Linked DNA regions of Drosophila melanogaster. The protein of the gene in region 1 interacts with the protein of each later gene in a pairwise test. Each region holds a gene or a part of one and is shown in the gene's direction. Other genes may lie near its edges. The genes, in order: AstC-R1, Lcp65Ag3, Sar1 and bocks.

The links.
Region 2: the proteins of AstC-R1 (region 1) and Lcp65Ag3 interact in a two-hybrid assay, tested with the Drosophila melanogaster proteins (one large-scale study listed by BioGRID).
Region 3: the proteins of AstC-R1 (region 1) and Sar1 interact in a two-hybrid assay, tested with the Drosophila melanogaster proteins (one large-scale study listed by BioGRID).
Region 4: the proteins of AstC-R1 (region 1) and bocks interact in a two-hybrid assay, tested with the Drosophila melanogaster proteins (one large-scale study listed by BioGRID).

The regions. Positions count from the first base shown.
Region 1 is NT_037436.4:18,558,612-18,563,325, forward strand, and holds the start of AstC-R1 (allatostatin C receptor 1), read left to right. Parts: upstream 1-1,646; 5' UTR 1,647-2,093; intron 2,094-4,714.
Region 2 is NT_037436.4:6,129,856-6,132,930, reverse strand, and holds Lcp65Ag3 (larval cuticle protein), read left to right. Parts: upstream 1-1,941; 5' UTR 1,942-2,001; coding exon 2,002-2,120; exon of another isoform or gene 2,121-2,181; coding exon 2,182-2,380; 3' UTR 2,381-2,545; downstream 2,546-3,075. Other genes in the region: Cpr65Au (cuticular protein 65Au), read left to right, coding at 850-983, 1,326-1,512.
Region 3 is NT_033777.3:22,354,983-22,361,211, forward strand, and holds Sar1 (Secretion-associated Ras-related 1), read left to right. Parts: upstream 1-1,702; 5' UTR 1,703-1,816; exon of another isoform or gene 1,817-2,065; intron 2,066-2,534; exon of another isoform or gene 2,535-2,548; 5' UTR 2,549-2,646; coding exon 2,647-2,689; intron 2,690-3,389; coding exon 3,390-3,509; intron 3,510-3,580; coding exon 3,581-3,646; intron 3,647-4,542; coding exon 4,543-4,778; intron 4,779-4,854; coding exon 4,855-4,971; 3' UTR 4,972-5,729; downstream 5,730-6,229. Other genes in the region: rdhB (retinol dehydrogenase B), read left to right, coding at 710-845, 967-1,143; JMJD6 (jumonji domain containing 6), read right to left, coding at 6,087-6,229.
Region 4 is NT_033777.3:9,588,945-9,593,008, reverse strand, and holds bocks (bocksbeutel), read left to right. Parts: upstream 1-2,006; 5' UTR 2,007-2,079; coding exon 2,080-3,279; 3' UTR 3,280-3,541; downstream 3,542-4,064. Other genes in the region: P58IPK, read right to left, coding at 3,727-4,064. UniProt on the Drosophila melanogaster protein: Inner nuclear membrane protein. May have a role in maintaining the structural integrity of the nuclear lamina. During pupal development, plays essential and redundant functions with the other LEM domain proteins; MAN1 and Ote.

The DNA.
Region 1 (4,714 bases):
ATTCAACCAGAAGGATTAAAAGTTTTGCTCAAAAGGCCAAACTAAAGTTTGACTCCGAAGAACGTCGACAGTTGCCATATTTTCTGTGTCACTCTCTTTCCAAAGTTTCTTCTAGATATCCCCCAACTCTTACCATATGTTTGCCAGCTTTTTTTTCACTGTCATCTAACCAAGTCGAACTTTTTTCTAAACGAAAACATCAACTGGCTCCACATGGAAATTATTGCAGCAAATTTCTTTCCAAGTTGGGTGCGAACAAAAACGGAAAATTTCCTGTTCTTCTAATGACCAACAGAGCAAGGGAGATAACTCCGGGTTTGGGCCAGGTGGATAGTTTTCCAAGTGCACGGCAATTAGATTTCGACGCCTGGGGCTTCTTAAGTTGGAGCTCTGAGACGGTGGCAGTGCTGAGATATGATTTATTTACCCAAAAAATGTAGGAGGAAACTAAAGATTGGTATCTGAAACGCAATCACTTTCCAAACTTAATTTAAATATCTGATAAATTTGCAAACTAACTTTGTAAACTTTGGAAAAAATATGTATGAATGATTTATATCGAGTGTGATGTTTGGTAACGAGGCAAGAACATATTTTTAATGTTTTTAAGAATATATATATGATATAGCACAGTCTTGCTATATCATATCCTAAGTAAATTGTGAGAGCATGCATTTCTTGTCCTCCTTTCCATGTCATTACTGATTTCAATTATTGCAAACAACTGTATGCAAAATGCATGCAATTAAGGCTAGAATAATCAATCAGCAATCAAAGCCTTTCCGAATTCAAGCTAATACACGTACATTTGCAACTATAATTATAACATTGACTGTCCCAATACCGATATAATTTTAAATGCAGTGCCATACCTGAACTACGAAACAATTGTGCCGAAAATAATATGTTATGCAAACACATTTGTGTTATTGGAATTTGGTAAAAGTATAAATAACACATTACGTATACGGCCGGTAAGCCATCCCATAAACGATTTTGAACATTTTAATTATAAGGAATTATAAATCTGATAAAATAAGGGTATATGCTCGCTAATATATGTTAAATTTAGAGTAATTAAATTTAGGTCCAAAATAACTGGAAATAATTTTTATAACAGCATGATACCAAAGGAAGGTAAAACTTTTTAAAATTTCTTGTTTTAGCATGAGATAGATAACACATGGAAGTAGTTTTGATTAACCTATAGCGACAACACATCTCAATATTATACTTTGATAATCCTTGTTCTTATATCCTTCTAAATGGCACCAGTAGAATCAACAAGCACTTGCCCAAAATGGCAACAGAACTGCAAGCGCTAACATTCGACTGTTGTTGGCCAACGAAAGTGAGAGTTCGTATAAGAGAGAAAGTGTCGGCGGGAGAGTCTCCCTCACCGCGTGCTCTCCCGACCAACTGTTAATTGAGGAAAATTGCAGCTGGGAAAACGGCAGCAGACCGCAACACGCATCAGGCATCAGGCCAATCGGGCGACGAACCTGAAAGCCGAGCACCGAGCGCAATTGTGGATCCGAGCGACTCTGCAGTCGGAAAACTCGCATCGGAAAATTCGCATCGGAAAACTCGCATGCACCATAACAAAATTCGCCGGCAAATGCGGCGCGCAGTATGCAAAACAACACCGGAACGTGCAGTTCAGTCACTGTATCTGAATCTAAAATAATAATATAAAACCAAACTACGAGCAAACCCAGGGTAAAGTAAACAAAAACTTCGCCAGCGCCAAAGACCAAATTCGATGAACGTGCGCGAAAAACTCAAACCAAATAGGGTGAGAGTGGCGAAAAAGTTGGGCGGGTGATAGATAACCCCCGGGGGCTTTTCCTGCTGCCTGCATCCAATCCAAATTAGCGGCCAAAAACGCAAGGAAAATAAACAAATAATTTTACTACCAGCCGCCGTCGAATCACAAATAAATCCGACGTAGAGTGAAAAATAACATTAGCGTCGCAATCCGAGGAATTGCAGAAACGCTTGCCAAATATTTTGAAAACCCCGAAAAGTGCGTGGTGTGCCATTTTATCGGATTCGAAAGGATGAGTGGCTAGATGACACAATATATTCAAGTGGTAAGCAAAATGTGCCTCGAGGAGCATCGAACGGGTTGCCTTGTGTGCACATCTAAAACGATTGGGTGCTATCTATCTCCAATGTGATTAGAAATATGTATGTACTATATAGTAAATAAAAAATAAGCTCTCCTCATCTACATATAAATATAATCCTAATTCTAGTTTTTGAACTTAAATTAAATATAAATATAGTTTAACTTGAAGGGTTTGCAATACTTTCGCTCTGTGCTTGGGTTTTCCATTTTCAACGTTCAAATGTTTGTGTGCGTTGAAATTTATCAGATAACTGAAATTCTGTGCGAATAGCAATTTGTAACTGTTGAATGTCTTGCGTTGAGGGAAAGAGGTTGGTCTTCCTACGAGGCGATGGGATGGGTTGAGGAACGAGGATGCCCGATGATGTGGAAACTGAGAAGGGCTGACCATCGACGGCAGCCGCAGTAAACCAGAAAGGATTTTGGGGAAACGAAACAAAATTTGACAAATTAGGGAATGCTGGAATGGTCGTAAATGTTATTCAGAGAAGTGCTATGCTGAGAATAAATGCAGAAATTGTTACGGAGACATGTTGATTAATTCGTTATGTGAGATGTGCAGAATAAAAATGCCAATTTAAGAAAAGAAATGCCAAGGCCACAAGTAATTTTCTTAATAAATATCCTGCATACATATTAAAGTGCAGCAGAAATTATTTGTTATTGGCTCATTACTCCTAGGGGTGTGGAATTTTGTAAACTTGATTTAATTGTAAGTAATTCCCATTTTATTATGAGAAAGTTAACCAAGTGGTTCAGAACCAAAGCTATGAGCTACTTACAATTTTTATAGAAGCCCTCTATGTTGTTCAGCTATGAAACTCAAGTTCCTTTAGCCTCCGTAGTTCCCCCTTCACACCAGATAACCCGGCGAATGAGCTCATCCAGCTAAGTAAAGTCCACTAAAACCGAACACCCCCTCCCCGCAAGACCAACTAAAAGGCACAAGGAGGCGGAGATAGCCACTGCCACCCCATGACCATAAAGCCCAATCAAAAGGCCGTTGCACTCGCTGACTAACGGACTAACTGAGTGAATGACGTGCCCTGGCCCAATCCTTCAGTCAATCGGTTTGATGGCCTGAGTCCGAATGTGGAGCTAGAAGCAGCACGGGAAGACAACGCAAACAGCAGGCGAAAGTGAAGGAGCAAGTCACGGAGGAGGAGCAAACGAAGCGTTTCAGCAGCTGCTGCTGCGACTCTGCAACTCGGGGCGTGTAATTTGTCAGACAGATTTCTTTTAGCGCCAGGACACAACCCCTCCCATCCAATCCAATCCAATGCTTCCTACACACCCACACTCAGCAATTGCCCACCCACAAAAAATACCGCCCACGTCATTGCAACAAAACTGCTTCCTTCCTGACTTTTTTGGCCATGCTCTTTGAAACTGAACTGGGCGTCCGACGAGGCTGGGATTGCTCTTACAAATCAGATATTCCCTTTAATTATATAATTTACAAATCTTTGTTCGTGAGTTTATACATTACATACATAAAATCGGAAGTGTTTTAATTTGCTTTTACTTTTGCATTTAAAAATGAATTATAATCAAGTTGATATAGTATGCAATTTTTTAGCTTGAAACTATAAATTGTACACTTTTAAATCCGTTTTATTTTATAATTTTAAATCAAGGATCTTAACAGAATAGACATTAAAAATTGTAGTCTTTCATTATAGGTTTGCACCATTGGTGACATATTTTGTCAATGTTTCTGATACCAAGTAGCATTTGGCAAAAATGTGGTTAAGATAAGAAAAAATGTATAAAACACCCCGGACTTTTATTAAAACCCATTGAATAAGTGAAAATGGGAACAGTCTGTGCAAAGGTATTGAAAAAGGAAGGGAAAGGAACGAGCCAGACATTGACATTTCAGTGCAAATGAAGTGATAAAACGTAAAGGCAAAGCGGCGTCAGCTAGAAAATTGCCAAAGTGGGTAAAGGAAGTGTAGGGAAAAGTGTGGAAGAGAGAGACAGACATAGTTGGGGAGAAAGAGACGGACGACTGAGCTAGATAGAGAGGGCCTGGCAGACAAAGCGCGTCGAAAATGCGTCTAATTTGATGGAAGCGATGCATGCCTTAACCTTTCGTCGGCGTCAGGCAAACAGACAGCAGCAACAACGAACACAACGATGACAGGCACCAAATGATAGCATTTCCTCCCAACTCAAAGGATCCGACTTAGCCAAGAACAAGGACACTGGCAAGGGAAAGGGAAGGGGAAAGAGTAGGAGAAGGGACCAGCCAACTGGGAGAGGATGAGCACCGGATTCAAATGGCGGAACAAGTGCCAGAGATGCTGATGTGGCGCCTCCTCAGCTGCTGACAACAAATTGATGGCCAAGGATGCACAGAAATTCCTCGGAAATTAGTCAACGCACAAGGGATTCCCACAAACTTCACTTAAAGGGGAAACCGTTCTGAAATATTAGACCGTTGTTAATATCCCAATCCTTCATGCTTTCCCAAAACAAAATTCACTTTCTTTCCTTAATCAGAACGAAAAAATATCCAAAAAAGTCCCTCAAAAATACAAATTTAGATTTAGTCTTTATTTTATCATATCACAAACAAAT
Region 2 (3,075 bases), about 12 Mb from region 1:
AAGTTTTGAATACAATTAGCTTTTGATTAACATATGGGGAAGGTCGTAGTCGAAAAAGAACCGACTGATTATAGATATTCGAAGAATAGAAACTGGTCACAGCGTGTATACGTGACCGCTGCACGATTAAATGTTTGTAAAATACTCTGATATTTGATATAGAATACTCTGATATGTAGAATATTCCATGCTTGTTGGATTGCTGATTGATATTTTCTATTAATAATTAATGTATATACCAATAGTAGTGTACACAAAGCATTTGCTGAGGCTTTACTTATTCAAACATTAGATGATAATATGAGAAATGACAATGGCAAAATCACAATGCACAATAATAAAAAGTTCGAATACAGAACTTTATGCATCTCGACTAGAAGACATCGTTTAAACCTGAGTTTATATGTATATAGCAAATGGTGATCGTGTACTGTTTTTTATACAAATTTTCACCGTTCTATCTGTTTGTTTCAAACAAACATGTTCACGATTAGCTTAATTAACCAATAAGATTTGAGAATTCAAAGGTGATGGCAAGGTAAGGCGTCATTCTGTCTATCAATTGACTGTCGACAAGGTAATTGCATACATTACCATCTGTTGGATATACCTGCATGCACGATTAGTGCAGGGTACTTAGAGTGTTAATCTGTAATTAAAATGTGTTTTATTGAATGTTTGCATTATAGCTGATTTCTTTATTTTTAATTTGTTTTATTATTTTGCATTTTTCGCCGATGAGGACATAATCCAGAGATTTCGTATAAAAGGGCATCAGATGATCGCATCGCAGCTCAGTAAAGTGCAGCTAGCTGTGACGGAGACTCTGAAAAACTAATTCTTTCCGCAATGCAATCGAATTTCATGTGGCTGGTAGCCTTCCTGGCAATTGGTATCTGTTTGGCCTTTCCCGCTGGTGAGGATGCCCAGGCGGAGACCATCAAACTGGAGAGCGAAAACACGGGCGATAAATATTCCTTTGCGTAGGTATTGCCCAGAAATGATTTGGACATAATGCATTTAATTGTAAAATTTTTTAACCTTAAACTGAGATACTATTACTATTTTGCGTAGAAACGGCTTGACTATTGAAACTGATGTATATAAATATGTACACATATATAAACTTTATTTAGTTGCACATGTCTCCCTCACTGCGTTGCAAACTTCTGACTGATATCAGAGGTATAAGCCTCTGCAAGGGCAAAATTAAAGAGGGTAGCTTTGAAATGCTTAGTTGTAACAGGTGTTTAATTATTCGATGTTCCTATATACAATTTCAATCAATAATTAATTTATTAAAAACAATTAACATCGAATTCCAGCTATGAGACGAGCAACGGAATCTCACGCACTGAGACCGGTGAGGTGAAACCTGGAGCCGGCGAAGAGGATGGTTCCTTGTCTGTCCAGGGATCGACCAGCTGGTCAGCTCCAGATGGCAAAAAATACGAGATTAGTTTCACGGCCGACGAAACTGGCTACCATCCCAAGTTCAGGCTAGTAGCCTAGGAGATACCTGGATGTATAATGATTCCGGATGCGAATAAATAAGTTGACTTTATTTATCCAATGTAAAAGATTCGTAGAATTAGAAAAGTAAATAGAAAAAATGTATATATTTGAGGAAGCTCCCGAGTTTTATTGACGTCACTAAGACTGGCTGGATTATTATAAATATAATAAAGCTCAATGAATTGTTAAAAATTTGAATAATGAAATATTTATGAACGCGATTCTTTTTGGACTATAGTGTTATTAAAATTTTATATTAGGCCTTTTAATGCTCCTACTTCAAACGAAAATGAAATCCAAACCAGACATTTCACATTAACATTGATTTTGCTCATTATGTCTTGTACACGTTTGACTAGTTCGGCCGCGCTTTGAATAATCGCCAAGAGGGTGCCATCTATAAAAGGGTTTACGCGGCCGTCCATAGTTACCATTCGACTTGAACTGTTCGATAGCCGCAGATCTAAGCACCAAACAACAATCACCATGAAATTCCTGATTGTCTTCGTCGCCCTCTTCGCCGTGGCTCTGGCTGCTCCTGCCGCTGAGGAACCCACAATCGTGCGCTCTGAATCCGACGTTGGACCCGAAAGCTTCAAATACGAGTAAGTTGCCTATGAGAAATGACCCAAAAGGATACCTAGCTGACACTGACTTCCTTCTTAGCTGGGAAACCTCCGATGGACAGGCTGCTCAAGCTGTAGGTCAGCTGAACGACATTGGAACTGAGAACGAGGCTATCTCTGTGAGTGGATCCTACCGCTTCATTGCTGATGATGGCCAGACCTACCAAGTCAACTACATCGCCGATAAGAACGGATTCCAGCCCGAGGGTGCTCATCTGCCCGTTGCCCCCGTGGCATAAGTGAAGTTGCTTTCACTGTAAGCAGCTTTAAACCCACCAATTCTGCAACACTCTTTGTTATCTTCCCCAACACTTACCTACTTTCGGTTTTCCCTTTTAAAAGGGAAAGAATCCTAAGTTACAGAACGCAGTTTGTTGAATATTAAAAAATGTAGATTTTATATGAATTCGTTTTATTTTAAATGTGCTTTTCGCTCAAAAGGTCGGAAACGTCGTTTTTTTTTAAAGGCGATTATTTGAAAATATTTTGTTAAGTTGTTCAGATAAATAGAACTAGATTCTTATGGCAAACAACGGACCTAATTAAAGGTTTTTTTCCATTAAGCAATTCTTAAGAAGTGTAAATAAGTATTTTGAAAGAATAGGTATTTTTTTCATTTAGAAAATTATTAATTAAAAAAAAAAACATTTTAGAACTGAAAATACAATTTTTTATTATGTATTTTATTACTCTAACCGCTAACATACCCAGTCGTCTTCAGGCTTTATTAGGTGTTCTTATTACATGAACATTATTAAAAAAGAAAAAGTTTTTGGGCCCTTATAATAATATTAAAAAAGAATATATTTTTCCTATTTTTAACTTATCTTAACAAAATCAAACGAAAATTTCCAGTATGCCTTAATAAAATAAAAACAAAAAGTTCTCCCAAATGCATAGTCGGCTTTGCGGATTTAAAGTGCATAGTTTAATC
Region 3 (6,229 bases), on another chromosome or scaffold:
TGTGTCAAGGGGCTTGACAGGTGGGCAGTGGAAGTTGGGCGGTCGTCCATATGCATTTCGCTTAATGTCAGTGCAATAATATTAAGACTTAATTAATTAAAAACTGCAAGGGTATGCCGGCCGCCCAGCATCTGCAGCAACGTTGGCAATTGTTTGCATTTAATGCCCCCGGCTCAGAGCCGTAAGTACCACCCCGTGCTCTTCCAAATGCACTCGAAAAAAAGGATACTCGAATGAATGCCTTCATAAAAATATCAGTTTAATTAAATTAAATATCTTGTAGCAAATATAAAAACTAGTTGTAACTTATAATTCCCTTATTTTTCCAAAAATTTCGCATTCAATCAAAATATTATAGCACAAGTTTTTAAGTCTTTTCTTGCTTTTTCGTCAGGTGTGGGGGTAAAATTAAAAGAAGTTTACGCAATGTTTGCATAAAATGCACGCAAAAATGTCCCGTCAGCTGCTGACCATCATTTTCCGTAGGTGTTCGACGGCGACTTGTTTTTTGTTGCCGTTTTAAGTGCTTGAAATCCGTTGTGTTGACTTTATTTACCCACGCACACCCGCCGTTTGTGACCCCGCTTTGTCTTTATTTTCCATCCCCGACGCACCGCCATACCTTGGCATGTGGACGATGCTCATGCTACTCCTCCGCCTCCTCCTTCGCTCTGCTCTGGACATGTGTATGGACAACATTTGACAACAGCGTGCTTGGCCATCGGATTCCGGAAGTGCCGGTGCCCTTATTCAGCGTTTATCCGGCCACGAAGCATGCAATTACGGCCCTCTGCCAAACGGTGCGCCAGGAAATACATTTTCTCAAATTAAATATTAAATTAACGGTAAGTTAAATGCAGTGCATACATGGCGCGCCTCATCCTCCATCTTAATCCTCGGGAAATGCGGCAAACATGACGCGTCTGCTCATTGGTTACCCTCTCCATTTTTATCCCTCCATTGCAGAGCATTTGCCCGGGCATGGTAGACACGGATTTCCTTAGTGTTTACTCGCAGGCGGTAGCCGAGCTGCCCAAACTGCAGGCAAGGGATGTGGCCAAGGCCGTGTTGTATGCGCTGAACACTCCCGATGGCGTCCAGGTGGAGGACATCATCCTGCAGCAGATGCGGAAGGTCGATTGAATTTTAGTTTGAATTTCAAGAGAATTACATTTTACCCAAAACGATATTATTTGTACATTTTGTATATGTTCTTCTATGTAATAAGAGAACAAATGTACATATTTTTAAATATAAAAAATTACATTATTGCATTTCAAGCAACTGTTTCGACACTTTATATTCTTTAAGATGTTATCTGTAGATAACATCTGTATTAACATCTTATTACAAATAACATAAAAATGCAATAAAACGATAATTAAACATTTATAATATTTTGCATATTCTCTAATCGATATAACATTAAATGCGTGTAAATAGTTTGGCAACATTATGAATGCATTTATACATTCATTCATTTGAATTGGAATTGCCCGCGCATGTAGTGGAGTTGCCACCTTGCGGTAGGGCTGCCAGATTGAGTCAAAAGACCAGGGCTGTACAGCTATCGCTAGCGAGTACAACAACCACTCTTGATTTGGCTCGCTTCGCTCTAGCAGAGTTATCCACCAAAACATCGATTACTCGTGCTACCCCCAAAATCGATGGTACGAAACAAACATCGATATTTCACAGCTTTCGCTTATTGGTCACACTGGGGCTTATGATTAAAAAAAACTGAACTGACTCCAATAAAAACGTGAGGTAGAAAAAGCGAATTAGGTTGACAATTAATACACACAGCAGACGCACGGTAACCAGCCGCCAATACCGATACGAACGCGCGGCGGCAACAGCAAGTGCGCAAGTAAAAGTCCATATCAAACGCAAGCTACCCGCAGCCGCGGGCAGTTAAATTCCGAAATGCGTCCACGTAGTGCAAAATCCGAATCTCAATTCGAATTCGAATCGGAAGTCCGGATGTCTGCGCCCTTTTTATGCTTTTTTCGAGGGTGCGGCTTAGATCGGCGTGCACCTGCCGTCCAAAGTGTGATTACGAAATGTGCTCCAACGTGAAATGATATTATAAAGTATAATATAATGCATGTTACCACGTAGTTGCACACAGACAGGCAGCACACGCACACACACGCGCACACCCAGTGCCACTCACACACACACACAGACAGTGAGCGAGCGAGAGGGCAGGAGGCAGAGAAAGAATGAAATAAAGAAAGTGCTGCCCAGTTGACAAAGAACAGGTTTTAACCTAATTAACTAAATAATGGGCCCAAGTGAATGTTTCGCCGCCAGGAGGAATTTGCTTCCTTATATCCGCAAGGTCCCCGCCGCTCGAGTGTGCGTGTTGTTGTATGTGTGTCAAGGTTCCGGAAGTTGAGCCGCCGTAAAATTGATTTCCTATACACCAAGCCGCTGTTGCTGCCGCTGCTGTTGTTCTTATTGTGTTTCTGTGGCTGGACATTGAACTTGAGTCGAAATGCGCACTAACCCATTATCCATGCCATATCTCTTTTCGATCCGGCAGCCGTCTAGCCCAGCAGCTCTCTTCCCCCCACAATAAACACACACAAGCTGCTCTTGGAGCCAATCACCCGCAACCGATAGCCACACGAAACCATCAGGATGTTCATCTGGGACTGGTTCACCGGAGTGCTGGGATACCTGGGTAAGCAACGTCGCCATTGCCGACCTTGTGCCTTGGGGCGGCGTTTCTTGAACGAGTGCCAACAAGGCAGCCGCACAAAAGAAACCCAAATTCGACGGCTGTACAGCGGAGGTCGTGGTGATAGCTCTAAACGTGCGATTATCTCGAAATCTAGAGGTTAAACTGTGTCTATAAGGTGTCGAAAGCTTATAACTTTCCATTAGGTCTCTCTATCACAACAAATGCGCGTTGAATATGCATTACTCTAGGGTGCATATACAATATACACTTCTGTAAAAGGTATTTTGATTGCATAGCCATGTACTCTTCAGCCACAATTATTTAAGCAGACATTTTTGATAGGGTTTTCCTCGCTTCCAGATGGCTGCTACACTTTTATTTGCTTTGTAATGCTAAAAGTTAAAATTATTCCATACGAAAAGTACTGTTCTACAGTGCAGGCCAAACTGATAGCAGTTGTTATAAGCGCATTTTTGTTATAGCTTGATCTTTAATCAGGTTAATGATAGCCGAACATTTTGGGTAGCAAAGGTAATAATTAGCCCGAAGTCCAAGAGCTATTGTCTCGACCTCAAATGTATATTCGGCTGTCTGTGGCTGGGCAAACACAAGTGAGCCGCCACTAGTGTTAGTTTAGCTGCGTATATTAATTGATGACGCGTAAGTCAAAAGGCTATTCAACACACTTTCTCGTTTTCAGGTCTGTGGAAAAAGTCTGGCAAATTATTGTTCCTGGGCCTGGATAATGCTGGCAAAACCACACTCTTGCATATGCTCAAAGATGATAAGCTGGCGCAGCATGTGCCCACACTGCATCCAAGTGAGTTTCCTTCATGGACTAAATAGTGGTTATGTGTGTGACTTTAATTAACTAATATGATTGACTTGCAGCATCCGAGGAGCTGTCCATCGGCAACATGCGCTTCACTACATTCGACTTGGGTGGCCACACTCAGGGTAAGTGCCTAATCTTGACCAGAGCTCAGGGGAATGTGAATGTGCATCCAAATCGTTGCTATTTTCCGTACGTGCCCACGACTAAATATAGACCAGTATGCAAATATCGCAGGGCTAAGCAAGCGCAGCCGCCAGATCCACGACAATCAGCATGAAATATAGCGCATCAGGTCACCCATACAGCCAGTGCGTCTTACACTCGTAGCATTTGTTGCGATCAATCAGCGCCACACACTCGAAGCAATGCCACCACAGTGGTCACAAGCAGCTCATCCAGAGATCTCAATTATCATCTTATCTCAACTGTGATTATGAAGACCTCAGAATACTAGAATATTTAACCCATTGCATACAATCAATATGTTCATTTATGTTTAGAAAGCAATTAGTGTCTTGTTGATTTTCGCAAATACTATCTTCCTTACCACTGTGCACATATAGGCGACGTATTTATTATTAATATTATGAAGGCAAACATTCTCTATGTAGATAACAAACAGAAACGAAAAACTCGCATACATGCAGTTGATATATGTATATAAATATGAACATTATGAAAAGTGATCAAACATCGTGAAATCCAGTTGTTTTGATAACGAAGCTCTAGCACTCATTTTAAGGCAGCTCGTCATCGTGACGATCGTTTTCGCTTCGGAACTACTAGGTACACTAAAGTAGAAAGGTTCTTAGCGGCGGAAAGATATCAGATTTGTGCCTGATATCAGTGACTTGCGCTTTGTTATTCTAGCGATGTTATATAAATTACAGATTGTTGGTCAACAGCAGCGACTACTAAGGTGCCCTTGCAAATCTTGATTCAAAAATCGGAAGACTAACCCATCTAAAGACTAACTGCTGCTTTTGTATTTATGAGACATATCTACTTATTTCTGCAGCACGACGCGTCTGGAAGGACTACTTCCCTGCTGTGGACGCCATCGTTTTCTTAATAGACGCCTGGGACCGTGGCCGCTTCCAGGAGAGCAAAAACGAGCTGGATTCGCTGCTCACGGATGAGGCGCTGTCCAACTGCCCCGTGCTCATATTGGGCAACAAAATCGATAAGCCCGGCGCGGCTAGCGAGGATGAGCTGAGAAACGTGTTCGGACTGTATCAGCTAACAACCGGCAAGGTGAGCACCAAAACCACCTCCCTCCCTCCCTCCCTCCTTACTCCTGCTACATAATTGATATCCATTTGACTTGCAGGGCAAAGTTGCACGCGCCGATTTGCCCGGCCGTCCTCTGGAATTGTTCATGTGCTCCGTGCTGAAGCGACAGGGCTACGGCGAGGGTTTCCGTTGGCTGGCGCAGTATATCGATTAAGTCAGCATTAGCAACCACCACCAGCACCATATTTTCAAGAACACCACTCAACACTCAAAACCGAAAACTTGGCTACAAAATTTCCAAAAATGATTAGAGACCGCAGAAAGAACAGAACCCAAGGGATGTGAACCCAGCCCAATTCAAACCGTCAGACCTTAAGCAAAACGAAGCTGCGTGCGCAATTTCTAATTTATACAAAACAATTACAAATATTTCATAATAATAAAAAAAAAAAAACAGAAAACCATACAATGTACATCTGTAACACACAAGAAATCGCGGGAAAAACAGAACACAACATCAAAGTGAAGACAACTTTTCTATCTGGAACATCGGGATACATTGTAAGGAGCTGAAGGATGCGCGGAGTGCGCAAGGGAAACTTTTAATAATAATTATGAGTAACAAATTATAGCAAATTAAAGGTGATTTATTTAAGAGCATGTGCTTTCAACGAACGCTGTTTCGCCAATAAAATGTAGCCACCTACCTTTATTTCAAGTTTATGAATTGTAAATGTCGCTATTGATTTCCTAAATAGTTTACTTTGGCCGCAAAACATTATGTACATCCCTATAAGGATTCGACCTCCGATAAATGGTACACCTTAGTTTAGCTAAAAATTTTAAGTTGCATGTCATCGATGTACTTTGTTTCTTTTATACAATACGAAAGGGAAAGCAATTTATATAAAAAAGCATTTTTGTTTGCAGACAGAATTCTAAATAAAACGGAGAAAAGTAATTTTGTAAAATACATAAATTGGTGACTATTGTTGTTTTGCATTGGATTTATGTGCCGAGCTTGAATGAAACCCAGCGATGTACAAACATATTGGATTCATTTATTTATTTGCATTTAGGGTTTACGCTAATGAGTCACGTCCGGAGCATCTATTGAAATCAGGGAGCAGGCATTCGATGAGGGCGAGCACGGGATCCAGGAGCTGCAAACATGCTGGTCCAAGTAGAAAAATACACAAAACTCTGCAGAGTATGATCGCGACCTCAGTGCTAACTGAGCCGGCAGCGGCGGGGCAGTCCTCTCAGCAGCATCAGTTGGCGTTGAAAGAGGCGCATGAGCAAGCCCTTGCGCTTGGCCCGCTCCCTGGATCAGGAACGCGATGATCCGCCCATGGAGCCGGACCCGGAGCCGCCGCCAGCCATGCGCCGCTTCTTTTTCTTCTTGGCCGTCAGACTCTCCTGGCCGCTGTCCGTGTTGGAATCGCCGCCATCGTCGCTCTCCTCCTCCTCCG
Region 4 (4,064 bases), on another chromosome or scaffold:
AGGGATTACATAAGTAAAATTAAATTAAATCAAAATGGAAATGGAGATGGAAATGGAAATGGCAATGGAAAACGAGCGATGAAAACGAGAAAACAAAAGCGGGCAACAAATTTGATTTTATTAACCTGCGACTGCATTTCAATTTTGGCATTTACAACATTTTCTTGTCGCGTGTGTTGTTTTCGTGCTGATTTATGCCGCTTTTGGGCCAGCCGCGTTTGCAGTGAAAGTTAAGCGGGTTCAACAGCAAAAACAGCTGAAAACAGCAGCCAAAGGTTGTGTCAATGAACTGCGGTGGCGAATTCCCCAATTCCCCCAATTTGGGTTGCCTAATGTCATGGGCATGGGGCTAATCTTTTGTTAACAATTGTGATTTGGTTTATCGATGGAAGGCCTCTCACGTGACTTGGCTATCAAGCAATACCAAATATAGGCAATGACCGACTGAATAGAATGAAATGCCCAACACAAATTATATTGGTAACAATAAATAACATTTGGAGCTACTTGAAATCAGCAAATTCACATGTACAAGCCACTCCAAAAATAGCACCAAATATGTATGTGCCTAAATCACTGATATTAACATTTAGTTTGAAACCCCATTTCTTCCTTGCAACCCCCGATGCTTCTTTTTAGATGAATTCTTAATTATGAGTAAATATATCTTCATGAATACAATTGTTCAAATGCTCTTTGTGAGTACATTCCTTGGAATTCGTTATAAGTGCAACGTAAACAATATTTAAAGAATACCCGGTGGTCGGTCCTATTGGGCATTCTAAGCTGCAGAAGTGTAAAAAGGGTTGGTTTTATTGCTCACCTGGTGTTAATTGTTGCGGCAACAGGTAGTTCTTCTGGTGGAGTAGACTGGTGAACTGGACTGCCGATAAGAAGGAGGCCACGCGCAGAGTTTGAGTTTGGGCAATAGCAATATCGAAATGTAATAAACCAAATACCAGAAAGGCAATTACTCGTTCACTTTCGATTCGATCGGCCGATAAGGAATTTTACAGGGAAAACACGATGTCAACACGTTTAAACAAAGAACAAACGCACTTATTTTCTGTTTGCGCTTAACAAAAAAACAAAAACCCAAATACGAGGATATTTTTTTTTTCGTTTAGTATTTATATCTACTTTGATTCGTTGTTGTTTTTCACGTTTTATGTGTTTGTTTTTGTCCCGCTTGCTCTTTTTTGGGGCGCCTTTCTCGCTCTTGTCCGCTTTAACCGGTTTTTTGGTTTATGTTTATGCTGCTGCTTCTACTGCTGCTGTTGTTGCTGTTTTTGTTTCCCTTGCTCTTGCTTGGCTAAATGGAAAATATGCTGCAATTGCAGCCAGCAAATTGTCGAATGTTTCCAGCCACTTGCTTTGCTACTCGAAATCGATGCCAAAAACTTTAATAACACCCGCGATTGAGGTAAACAAAAGTGTAATAAGCGAAGTGAGGCACACACGCAGGCGCAGAAAAGCAAAAAGGTGAAGAAATATTGGCCGCCAAACAGGTGCAAATGATTCACGATTGTTTTTCCACAATCCACTGTTTATGTTACGATGCTATATCTCCTCAGTTTTCCGCACTGCGACTTGGGGATTTTCTTTGGCTTGGCGAGCGCTTTCCGCGCGGCGATTCGTTTAATTCGAGCGTCTTGTTTGCGATTGAACACCTGTTGCGCGTTCGATTTTCATAAAACTAACTGTGTGACCGTCGGGCGTTAGTTGAAATAAACCATAGCAAGCGTATCCAACCAGGTCTGGCAGCACTGCTGTAAATGTTTAGTTGTAGGCATTTTATAACACTGCACATGAGGCGATTGCACATAAAATATCGAGTTAAGTTTTTCTTCAAGTAGTTTGTTCTTCTGTCTGATGTTAAAAAATTGTTTTTACTTTCGTGCACAGCTCATCCAGCATATGAAATCTAGCTATAGTTTGTCAAACAACATTACTTTAGCAGCAATCGATAGGCGTGCACTTAGATTGAACATTCTATCGCTGCCGTTCCATCACTAATAGACAACATTGTGACGACATTGCTATTTTTGTGTGTTTTGAGTTTCACCACGGCGGAAAATAATGTCGGACCTTTCTTACCTGGACACGTTGGGCAACAAGGAGCTGCTGGCCAAGTGCCTGGAGCACGGCCTGCCCGGTGTTCCCGTGACGGACAGCACCCGCAGCGTCATAATTCGCCGACTAAAGGCCAAAATCACCGGGGTTCCGCTGAACAAAAGCAAATCTGCAAGTAAGAAAGCGATTCCGAGGCGTGAGACCGTACACGGCAGCCAGGTAACGACGCCCACATCGGAGCCAGTGCGTCGTACGCCCGGCAAGAGTGCAGGACGCACTAGCAGCAACAACAACAAGATCAGCGAACAAAGTCGTCGCACAATCGCCTATGGACTAGACAACACCTCGATCTCGGGAAGATCTGTGCAGACTACTACCACGGTGTCGGATATGAGCTCCCAGTCGGAGGACGACGACTCCTACATGGTGGACTCTCCGGTGCCTAATTACTCCAAGGACCAGCAGCCTAGACGTTATGTTTCTCTAGCCAAATCCGGAGTTTTGACCACATCTTACACACGCGAAGTTGACCAGCCGCTGTACGAACAGGAGGATATACCACGCAGCTACACCTACGAAAGACCCCATGTGCCAGCCGCCACTCTTCACGCACTTCCCACATACGAGCCACGCATCGAACCTTCGACATACAGACCCACAGATTTGGGTTTTTCGCGTCCCCTGCTGACTCAAACCAACTTAAACTCAACCAGCTACGAGGAGTCATCTACGTACAATCCAAAACTTTCACCCATTTCGCCAAGAAACACTTTCAGCGGATCCGCTAGGCCTTTTGGTGGCCCAGCACCAGCTCCAGCACCCATTCGCCAGCGACAGAGTGTTCCAGTTAGTGGATCCAATCTGGCCCGTGGTCGCCTGCTCCAGCCGACCACCGCAGTAAACACTCTATATCCACAACTAAATGAATTCTACGATCAGCCGAATGACGCAGGCGAACCCATGGAGACGGAGAGCGAGTCCGAAGTCGAGGAAGTACCCATCAATAGCCATTTCCAAAAGAATCGCTTCTCGCCGCTGGCTAGAAAACCTCTGGTAAGACACCACGATCAGGTTTCGCCTATGGCGCAGTTCCGTGCACTGGCGGTGTCATTGGATCAAAAATATAATCTCAAATTCTACTTAATATTGGTAGTGTCAGTGATGCTGGCCACCATGGTGTACGTGGTATTGACACCCAACGCCTGAGAAGCGTTCATATCGCGGAATACATTTGGTTTTGGTTACTCCACGCATTTCAACCACAGACTACAGCGAAGGAATATTTATGACGACTTTGCACCTTAAGACTACTACTTCAATTCCAAACATGTTCAAAACTAACAAATATTCAACTCAATTTGCCAAGTCTTTAATTGCTTGTTCTCGCATATTGTTTCTTTTTATACATAATTAGAAAAATGTACTACATTATAATTATTGTATTGTATTAAATAAACTAATTAAATGTAAGTGCTCAGTGTGTTTTGTTGCGATTTGTGTTTGTTTGTGGTACTCTCTGACAACGGACCATGGGTTTATTTATGCTTTATGCTACTATTTACACGCCATTTAAATGAACAAAACAGTGTAAAATCGTTAAAGGATATCGGGGATCGCGGCTAGGACATCACAAAGCAAATGGCTGCTGGCTGACTAATTGAAGTGGAACTTGAACTGGAACGGCGACCCGTGTTGGAAGTGTCCAAACGGATGTTCGCCATGGAAGCCGCCACGCTGATTGCTCTCAGGATCTAATGGATCCTCGCCGTTGTCGAATTGACGACGCTTCTCGGGATCCGTGAGAACCTCCTTGGCTGCGGCAATGTCAATAAACTTTTTCTCGGCCACCTTCTTTTCCTCGTCGCGGAAGTTGTCCGGATGCCACTTTTGCGCCGCCTTCCTGTAGGCCTTCACAATCTCCTGTTTGCTGGCGCTACGCTTAACGCCTAATATCTTATAGTAATCCCTGCGCTCTGACTGCTTCTGCAGCT